Linked DNA regions of Danio rerio. The protein of the gene in region 1 binds, or shares a complex with, the protein of each later gene. Links are inferred from orthologs where the notes say so. Each region holds a gene or a part of one and is shown on either strand. Other genes may lie near its edges.

Evidence for each region.
Region 2: the proteins of ppp2r2ab (region 1) and ier5 are in contact, whole or in part, in a cryo-EM structure (PDB 8UO5), measured with the Homo sapiens proteins. The link is inferred for Danio rerio from reciprocal best matches to the Homo sapiens genes PPP2R2A and IER5. Residues at the interface, in NP_002708.1 of Homo sapiens: Glu91, Ile92, Glu93, Glu94, Asp116, Tyr178, His179, Asp197, Leu198, Met222, Leu225, Thr226, Glu227, Val228, Thr230, Ser247, Phe280, Phe281, Glu283, Ile284, Ser287, Cys334, Tyr337, Glu338, Asn339, Asp340, Phe343, Lys345; in NP_057629.2 of Homo sapiens: Ala7, Arg9, Ile10, Ile13, Ser14, Lys17, Arg25, Gly26, Lys29, Leu30, His31, Lys32, Leu34, Leu35, Val36, Leu38, Val39, Leu40, Arg41.

The regions. Positions count from the first base shown.
Region 1 is NC_133185.1:23,765,627-23,769,459, forward strand, and holds part of ppp2r2ab (serine/threonine-protein phosphatase 2A 55 kDa regulatory subunit B alpha isoform), read left to right. Parts: intron 1-488; coding exon 489-601; intron 602-2,917; coding exon 2,918-3,095; intron 3,096-3,213; coding exon 3,214-3,378; intron 3,379-3,833. UniProt on the Homo sapiens protein: Substrate-recognition subunit of protein phosphatase 2A (PP2A) that plays a key role in cell cycle by controlling mitosis entry and exit. Involved in chromosome clustering during late mitosis by mediating dephosphorylation of MKI67.
Region 2 is NC_133197.1:16,200,421-16,204,053, forward strand, and holds ier5 (immediate early response gene 5 protein), read left to right. Parts: upstream 1-1,641; 5' UTR 1,642-1,835; coding exon 1,836-2,648; 3' UTR 2,649-3,125; downstream 3,126-3,633. UniProt on the Homo sapiens protein: Plays a role as a transcription factor. Mediates positive transcriptional regulation of several chaperone genes during the heat shock response in a HSF1-dependent manner. Mediates negative transcriptional regulation of CDC25B expression.

The DNA.
Region 1 (3,833 bases):
CGACATAGCGTTTGTGCAGACTGATATATGCATCTATACAATAGTAAATACAGAATATTTCTTCTTTTTTTCTTTACTGGAGAACCATTTAATAACTACTTAAGTTGCTTTAAACCCTGCAAATTCTCCAGACTTTTTCCTGACTCACCCATGCATCTCCATTCTGTCTAAAAATACAAACTCTCTGTTGTGTTATGCAACCGGTGTGTATTTAAGGCTGTCTTGAATAGACTGAATGCTGGGTTTTCTGTTCACCCACACACTGGAAGATGGGTAGATATTTGTGGGGCAGAGTTCAAATTAGACATGGGAAAAATGTCCAGATGTTTTCAGAATTTGGGGAACTGTCAACTCCGTTCGTTATGCCAGTCATACTTGCTATTATTATACTGTATGTGGAAATAGGCTTTTTTTTCATGATTATTTCAGCATGAGTTGTATTGCTGGTCTTGCACTTGGGGAGAAATTCTATAATATTATAATTGCAGATAAAACTATAAAGTTGTGGAAGATCAGTGAGCGGGACAAGAGACCAGAGGGATACAATCTGAAAGAAGAGGATGGACGCTATAGAGATGCTTCTACCATCACAACTCTACGGGTGAGTTACGAGTACAAAATTTTAAATAAAGGTGTAAATCGTGACCGAAATGTAGAGATGGACCGAATGACCAGCTGACAACTGGAATTAGCTGTTATTTTGCATAATCAGCCTGACTGTTGAGCAGACGGTCCATAATGTTAATGGCGGTGCAGGCAATGACATCAGAGACATTCATTCTAACATTTTGACCAGTTACCCATTAACTGACAGAATTTGACAGATTAATACTGTCAGCTTTCAAATATTGTCTTTTTTAAAGCATTTGCTGAGTATTTGTAAAGCATTTGCTAAATGAGTGATAAATACTACTGTTCTACTCATTGCCTTCAGAGGGAGAAAAAAAACAATTATGTTTAAGTTTTTAGTAAGTGCTTCATTAGAACAATATTGAAAATATCAGAAAATAAGTATCTATAAAATAGTAGAGCAAAAGAATACATACAAATATTAATCAACATATTACATATGCATATTTAATCTTTGGACTTTTGTTTAATGAAATGTAAAAAAGTTTCGTTTACAAAGAGTGGAAATAAAACTTTTTTTTTTTGTCGAGCATATTAGAGAAAACTGGTGTATTTGGGTTTTTGATAATGTTTTTTTTTTTTTTTTTTTTTTTTAGTAATGTGTTAATTTTTATAATGTGTTAATTTTGCAATATGCAATAAAACTGTTTTTGTTTGTGTATACTGTGAATTATAGTACTTAGAAGAAGAAGAAAAAAACGATGGAATCAGCAAAAATCTGTACTAACAAATTAATTACAAAAGTCACACTTACCAAAAAAATTGTAAAGAAAATTGCGTTTGGTGCATCTCTACTGAAATGATTTGGGCTCATCCACTTGACCAATTACAAAGGTAGTCGAAAAACAAATTTGATTGAATTACTTTCATAGTCTAAACATTTGTTATTGAATGCATTCAGACATCCAGCCAGTGTTGCCAACTATTTCCAATGAAAAGTAGCTAAATGTTGCCAGATGACATCACACACTAATTTGCATATAAGTGACGTCATCGCATAATATCTGACAAGCGTAAGCCCGTCATGTCTCTACTCTCTGTGGTGCCGTGTATTATACTATATTAAAACATTACATCCAGATGCACAATAAATAGGTTTTTATTAACATATTACTTTGCGTAACTCAAAACTACATCTTCATGTAGTATACAAAATAATTAATGTTTTCTCAAGTTGACTGGCCATCTCAGCAAAAACATTATTCAAAATATGTCCATTTAGATTTGTATTAAAAGTAAAAGTAATACAAACACTTTTTGATAATAATTGTATATTTTCATCTGTAAAACTGCTAATAAATAGTTACATTCTTTTAAACAATCACAGCTTGTGTACTAACTCTTTTTAACTTGTGAAATTAAAATATTTGACAATATTGTGAAAGTGACAACAATTATAGCACTATTGGAATTTATTACTACCTAAATTACTAACAATTATACATGTTAACAAATATCAGTGAATGAGCAGTTATGAAAAACAATCTGAGCTAGCAACTTACTCTTTTAAAATTGCTAAAGGTAGCCAAATGAATGTTAAAAATTGCTAAATTTGTTGCTAGGTGCTTTTTTGAAAAAAAGTTGCTAGGGTAATATGACTACTATTACTAGGGTAATAAGTTGCTAAAGGTAGCAACAAAATTGCTAAGTTGGCAACACTGCATCCAGTACATGATTATTCTGTAATATTAGATCAAAGTATTGATAAATGCAAGCTTTAAAATATCACTTATTTAAAATAGAAGGCTTTAGCAAGATTAAAATTGTCATTAATCTCACTTTTGATCTGTTTATTTCATCTTTGTAAAATTTATGTGTTAATTTTCAATCAATGTGACACTTGACCACAAAACCAATCATAAGGCTCAATTTTTTGAAAATAAGCTTTATCATATAAATACTATTATAAATAAGCTTTTCATTGATGTGTGGTGTGACATACTGTTTGATGTACAACTATTTTTTAGAAATGTATATTACTAACTAACAATCATGTTTTATTTATTGGTGGAAGGAAATTTAGAGAAATTTACTCATAATTTTTGGGATCAAATTAAAATCAGATCATTTTGAGCCCTACTGTGTATTTTTGGATATTCCCAAAAATATACCCATGCAACATAACACTAGGTTTGTGGTGCATGGTCTCAAATAACCAAAGCAGTAGTGCATTTTGCAATGTTTTTGCAGCAGTTCTACATCTTGCATCTTTCTATGACAGAAAAATGTAGGAGTCACATGCTCATCTGCCTATTTCAACAATTAAGCGAGTGAACGGTTTGTGCAGGTGCCAGTATTTAGGCCTATGGATCTCATGGTGGAGGCCAGTCCGCGAAGGGTCTTTGCCAACGCTCACACCTACCACATCAACTCCATCTCGGTCAACAGCGACAATGAGACCTATCTGTCTGCAGACGACCTGCGCATTAACTTGTGGCACTTGGAGATCACAGACCGCAGCTTCAGTATCCTACAAAATACAGCAGATAAAGGAGAATTCCTGTGGTTTAAAATGTTGTGTTTTATTGATGTGGCTTTTGATGTCGGTTCAACAGTGTTATGTGGCTTTAACTCTTGTGTCAGACATTGTGGACATTAAACCAGCCAACATGGAGGACCTAACGGAGGTTATCACAGCCGCAGAGTTTCACCCTCACCAATGTAACACGTTTGTCTACAGCAGCAGCAAAGGCACCATCCGCCTGTGTGACATGCGTGCATCAGCACTTTGTGACAAGCACTCTAAATGTGAGTTATAGGAGCAGACCACGTCATCTACACTACTGAATCAAGTACTGGATTTAGTGTTTTGTAAAATCCGCACTGCTGAAAGCAACTTTTTAGAATAATGCCCTTTGGGCTGTGTGTTTTCCCTCTTATTATAAATATAAACTAAAATGACAGCAGTTAGGAAATACTGTAATAATAGCAGTGTGCTTGTGCTTGAGCTCTGCAATTTGACACAAGTGAAATCAGGCCGTGTTTATTTTTATATTTGTATGTAACAATAGTCAAGCTGAAAAAATGACACACCACCCACTGAGATATATATATATATGAGGGTATCAGTCGATAGAGATTTTTACAGTATGCGTGGATAATGTATTTATTTAAATGAATAAACAATGCACAATACATTTATTACAGTATTTTTCTTTGTTGATGTTGATTAATGAAATACATTATTTTTTGATAGAGAATTT
Region 2 (3,633 bases), on another chromosome or scaffold:
CACAGTTCTTCATCCATTATTCATCACAGCGCGCCGCCTGCTCATTAGTTGACTATCTACACCAGTGCTGCTGTCCACTGGTTAGAGGACGTGTATGATGTAAAAGCAGCAAAGCAGCTGGAAACACTTGAGCTCGGTCGGCTTAGAAAGTAAAGCTGCATAAATTATTAATCAACTCCCGGTTTTATTTATAGTATCAGTTGCCAGTTTCCCATCAACGCGCAGAACTGCAACTGTAGAATCAGCACTAGATGAGATAGCGGGATACATGATTATTTTATAGAGCATTTCAATGTGTTCATGTCCTTATCAAACTATTACTGTAACAAGAGGCGATTTAATCATACATTAAAACAGCTCTCACGACATTATTTATCAATGTGTGGATCTTTTTAGATTCTCAAAGGCTATAGGAATAAATATGTGAAACAGAAAATACATTGGGACAATTGTTTTTGTTTACATCCCTCAAAATGGTCTATATGGACGTTGTTTTTTTTAATGAACAACAATTTAATCGCCCCTTTAAAAACAGGAGCTTAACACAACAACAGGGTGCTGATTTATGACTGATAGTAAATAATAATGCTTTCATTTTCATTTATCTGTGTGAGCTACTTCAAACAAAGCATTGCAGAATAAATTGTGCGGTAGTCATGGCTGTAATCGTTTATATATAGATAAACAGTCTTACGTCACAGCCTGCTCTTCCTGTCAGGTTTGTTTATGACCCACATCTTAATGCAGGCAGACTCACAAACCAACACGCACGGATTATTCATTTAAGAACCAGACATACACACGCAAAACGAAAGCATCGACGTGATCTTAATCTTCAATTGAGGGTAAAATCTCCCACACTGTTCGTGAGTAGCTGCTAACTGTTTCTTCAAACAAAACATTGCCCTTCCCCCCACGGGCAGCTCCATTCACATTTGCCCAGACACCGCAGTGGATTTGCACAATAGAGTCATGTGACACGACTGTAGCAGACAAACCATTACATCAGTCGAGGAAGTCAGTTGAAAAAAATTAAAGGGGAAGTAGCCTTCTTTCCCTTTTACCAGAAAACACAACGATACACTATGCGGAAACCGTGTGATGGTTATTATGTAGCGATGGATATATCTGAAATGTTAATATTTTGAAACAAAACATATTACATAAAGGGATAATTCTGGAAAACAACGTTAAATGTAAATCATGTTTTGGTATACGTGTATAGGGTCACATTTGGCTTGTTTTAGCTTCTGTTTACTTGTGAAAACGGTGTTGTGTTTCAAATATAGTTTATTTTTAACTTTCTAAACAAATACAGCCTGAAAAACACTGAGAAATATAAAAATATCCGTCTATTTTAGCTTGAAAACAATTCTTTCCCTTTAAGCAGTTCTCCCACGTTAGTATTTAAATATGACTCATAGCTGAAGCGCCCTTTCATTGGCTATCGCCTGTTTGGCGGGGTGTGATTCACAACTGTGGCAGAGCGCAACTCGCAACGCGATTGGCTAGTGTAGCCGCTGACGCCGGAGTATAAATGCGAGTTAAAAATAGAAACGGTCTCATTCCTCCCTAGACCATTGTTGGGTGCTGAAGAGAATGTGTGAGGTAATAAAATCTCCTACACTCACCCAATAACAAGATCTTGTATTTTGTATATGAGAATGAAGCCAACAAAACACGGGATTTGATCTACAGGAGGAACGGAAAAGCACTTGGACGTTGTTGTTTACTAACGGCTTTCGCGTTAACGTTTTGAAGAGAGAGGAAATCAAAGGCGAAACGCCCGGCGAACTTTGCACCGTTTGTGAACTTTAAACGTATCGATTCCAGCTATGGAATACAAAGTGGAGGCCCATCGGATTATGAGTATCTCCTTAGGGAAGATCTACAACTCACGCGTTCAGCGAGGCGGCATTAAACTGCATAAAAACCTACTGGTTTCACTGGTCCTCCGAAGCGCGCGCCAGGTCTATCTGAGTGACTACTACAGCGGCGCGTGCCTGAACGCTCAGAGTGAACGCGAAGGGAACGAGTGGGACATCACCGACTCCGAGCGGGAGAAATTCCCTCCCTCTACAACGGAATGTGACCGAGTAGAGAGCCCTGAGGAACCTCAACTCACCGAACAGCCCGAGGCGAGCGAGAAAGAGCGGGAATATCGCGAAAACGACGCTGAGAAATCAGAACGAGTGGATTGTACTTCCACTTCTGAGCAAGAAAGCAACCAAAACTCTTCTTTAGACTCGGTTTCAACGGAAACCACTACGGAGAGTCCCTCAGACACTACAGTAGCGGAACGCGACTCAACGCCTGTGGTGGTGAACGGGGAATCACATCAACCACCCAAAACGCATGTTTGTTCTTCAAACAGGAAAAGAAGCGCAGAGGAGTCAGAAAGTGGCGATGCGCCTCAAAAAAGGACCAAAGTTGCTTCCTCAAACACGAAGGAAGACGAGGAAGAAGCCGAGGAGATGGACACGGGGAACGTCTCCAACCTCATAACAATATTTGGTTCCAGTTTCTCAGGACTTCTCAGCAAAGATGGCACCAAACCTGAGGCCGAGGCAGAGGAAAGCGGTCAAATCTGCTGCGACCAAATGTTGAAAAACCTAAACCCATGGAGTACAGCAATTGTAGCTTTCTAACTGTATCGTACTGTACTTCTCATAACACGTGGTCAGGCCTGGGCTTCAACAACGTACTATGGGGGACTTCCCAGAAAGCATGCGTGGTGGTGCCACCAGAAGCACAAGCTCGTTTTGGCCTGGACTTGCCTTTCTTCTAGTGAAGGAACTATTTGAATGCTGGTGCTACTCTTTGGGATTAACAGTTCTTGAAGTGTTGAACTCTCAAAAGCCATGTGAGCGAATGGTATTACAACAATATGCAAACGTGTCATGAAGGGTCAATATTACATTGTCGCTGAAACAATTCAGGGTCGATCAACTTGACTGTACGAGGGTCAGGCCACTGTTTTTAACGTCTTTGTTTTATAAAGACCTGTACATTTTGTAATATCCGAGTGTGTGTATATATTGTCGCCAATGTCGCATTCTGAATCTATGTATTTTGGTATCATGACAATTTACGTGGAGCTCACGTATTAAAAAAATGTGAAATTACCATATTGTTTCTGTCCTTTATGTTCATGAATATTCAAAACTAATGTAATGATGTCAGCTTTTAATTTATATTTAAATATAAAAAAATTCCAGCTTAGGGGTAGGCCGATAATTGATGATATATCAAATCGTGATAAAATTTACATCAGTAACCGATAAACTCTGGACTTTTTTACTCTATATTGATCTAAGAGCCAATCACACAGCAGAAACGTCCTACAATGGGAATCTAAAATTGAGATGTACCAAATTTTTGGCCACCGAATATTTATCGGACGAAAATGTTATGCAATTTGGACCTTCTAATTGTTGTGGCTTCTGTCATTGTTTTAAATCTGCAAGTATTACCAACTTCTATCAAAATATATATCTCGTTATCGTTAAATATGGAAAATAATTGTCAAGATTACATTTTTGCCATATCGCCCAGCCCTACTCCAGGTTCCCACTGAACAAAGCTTAATATAATTTTGTATCCATCACCTGCAGATCTAACAGATAATCTAAT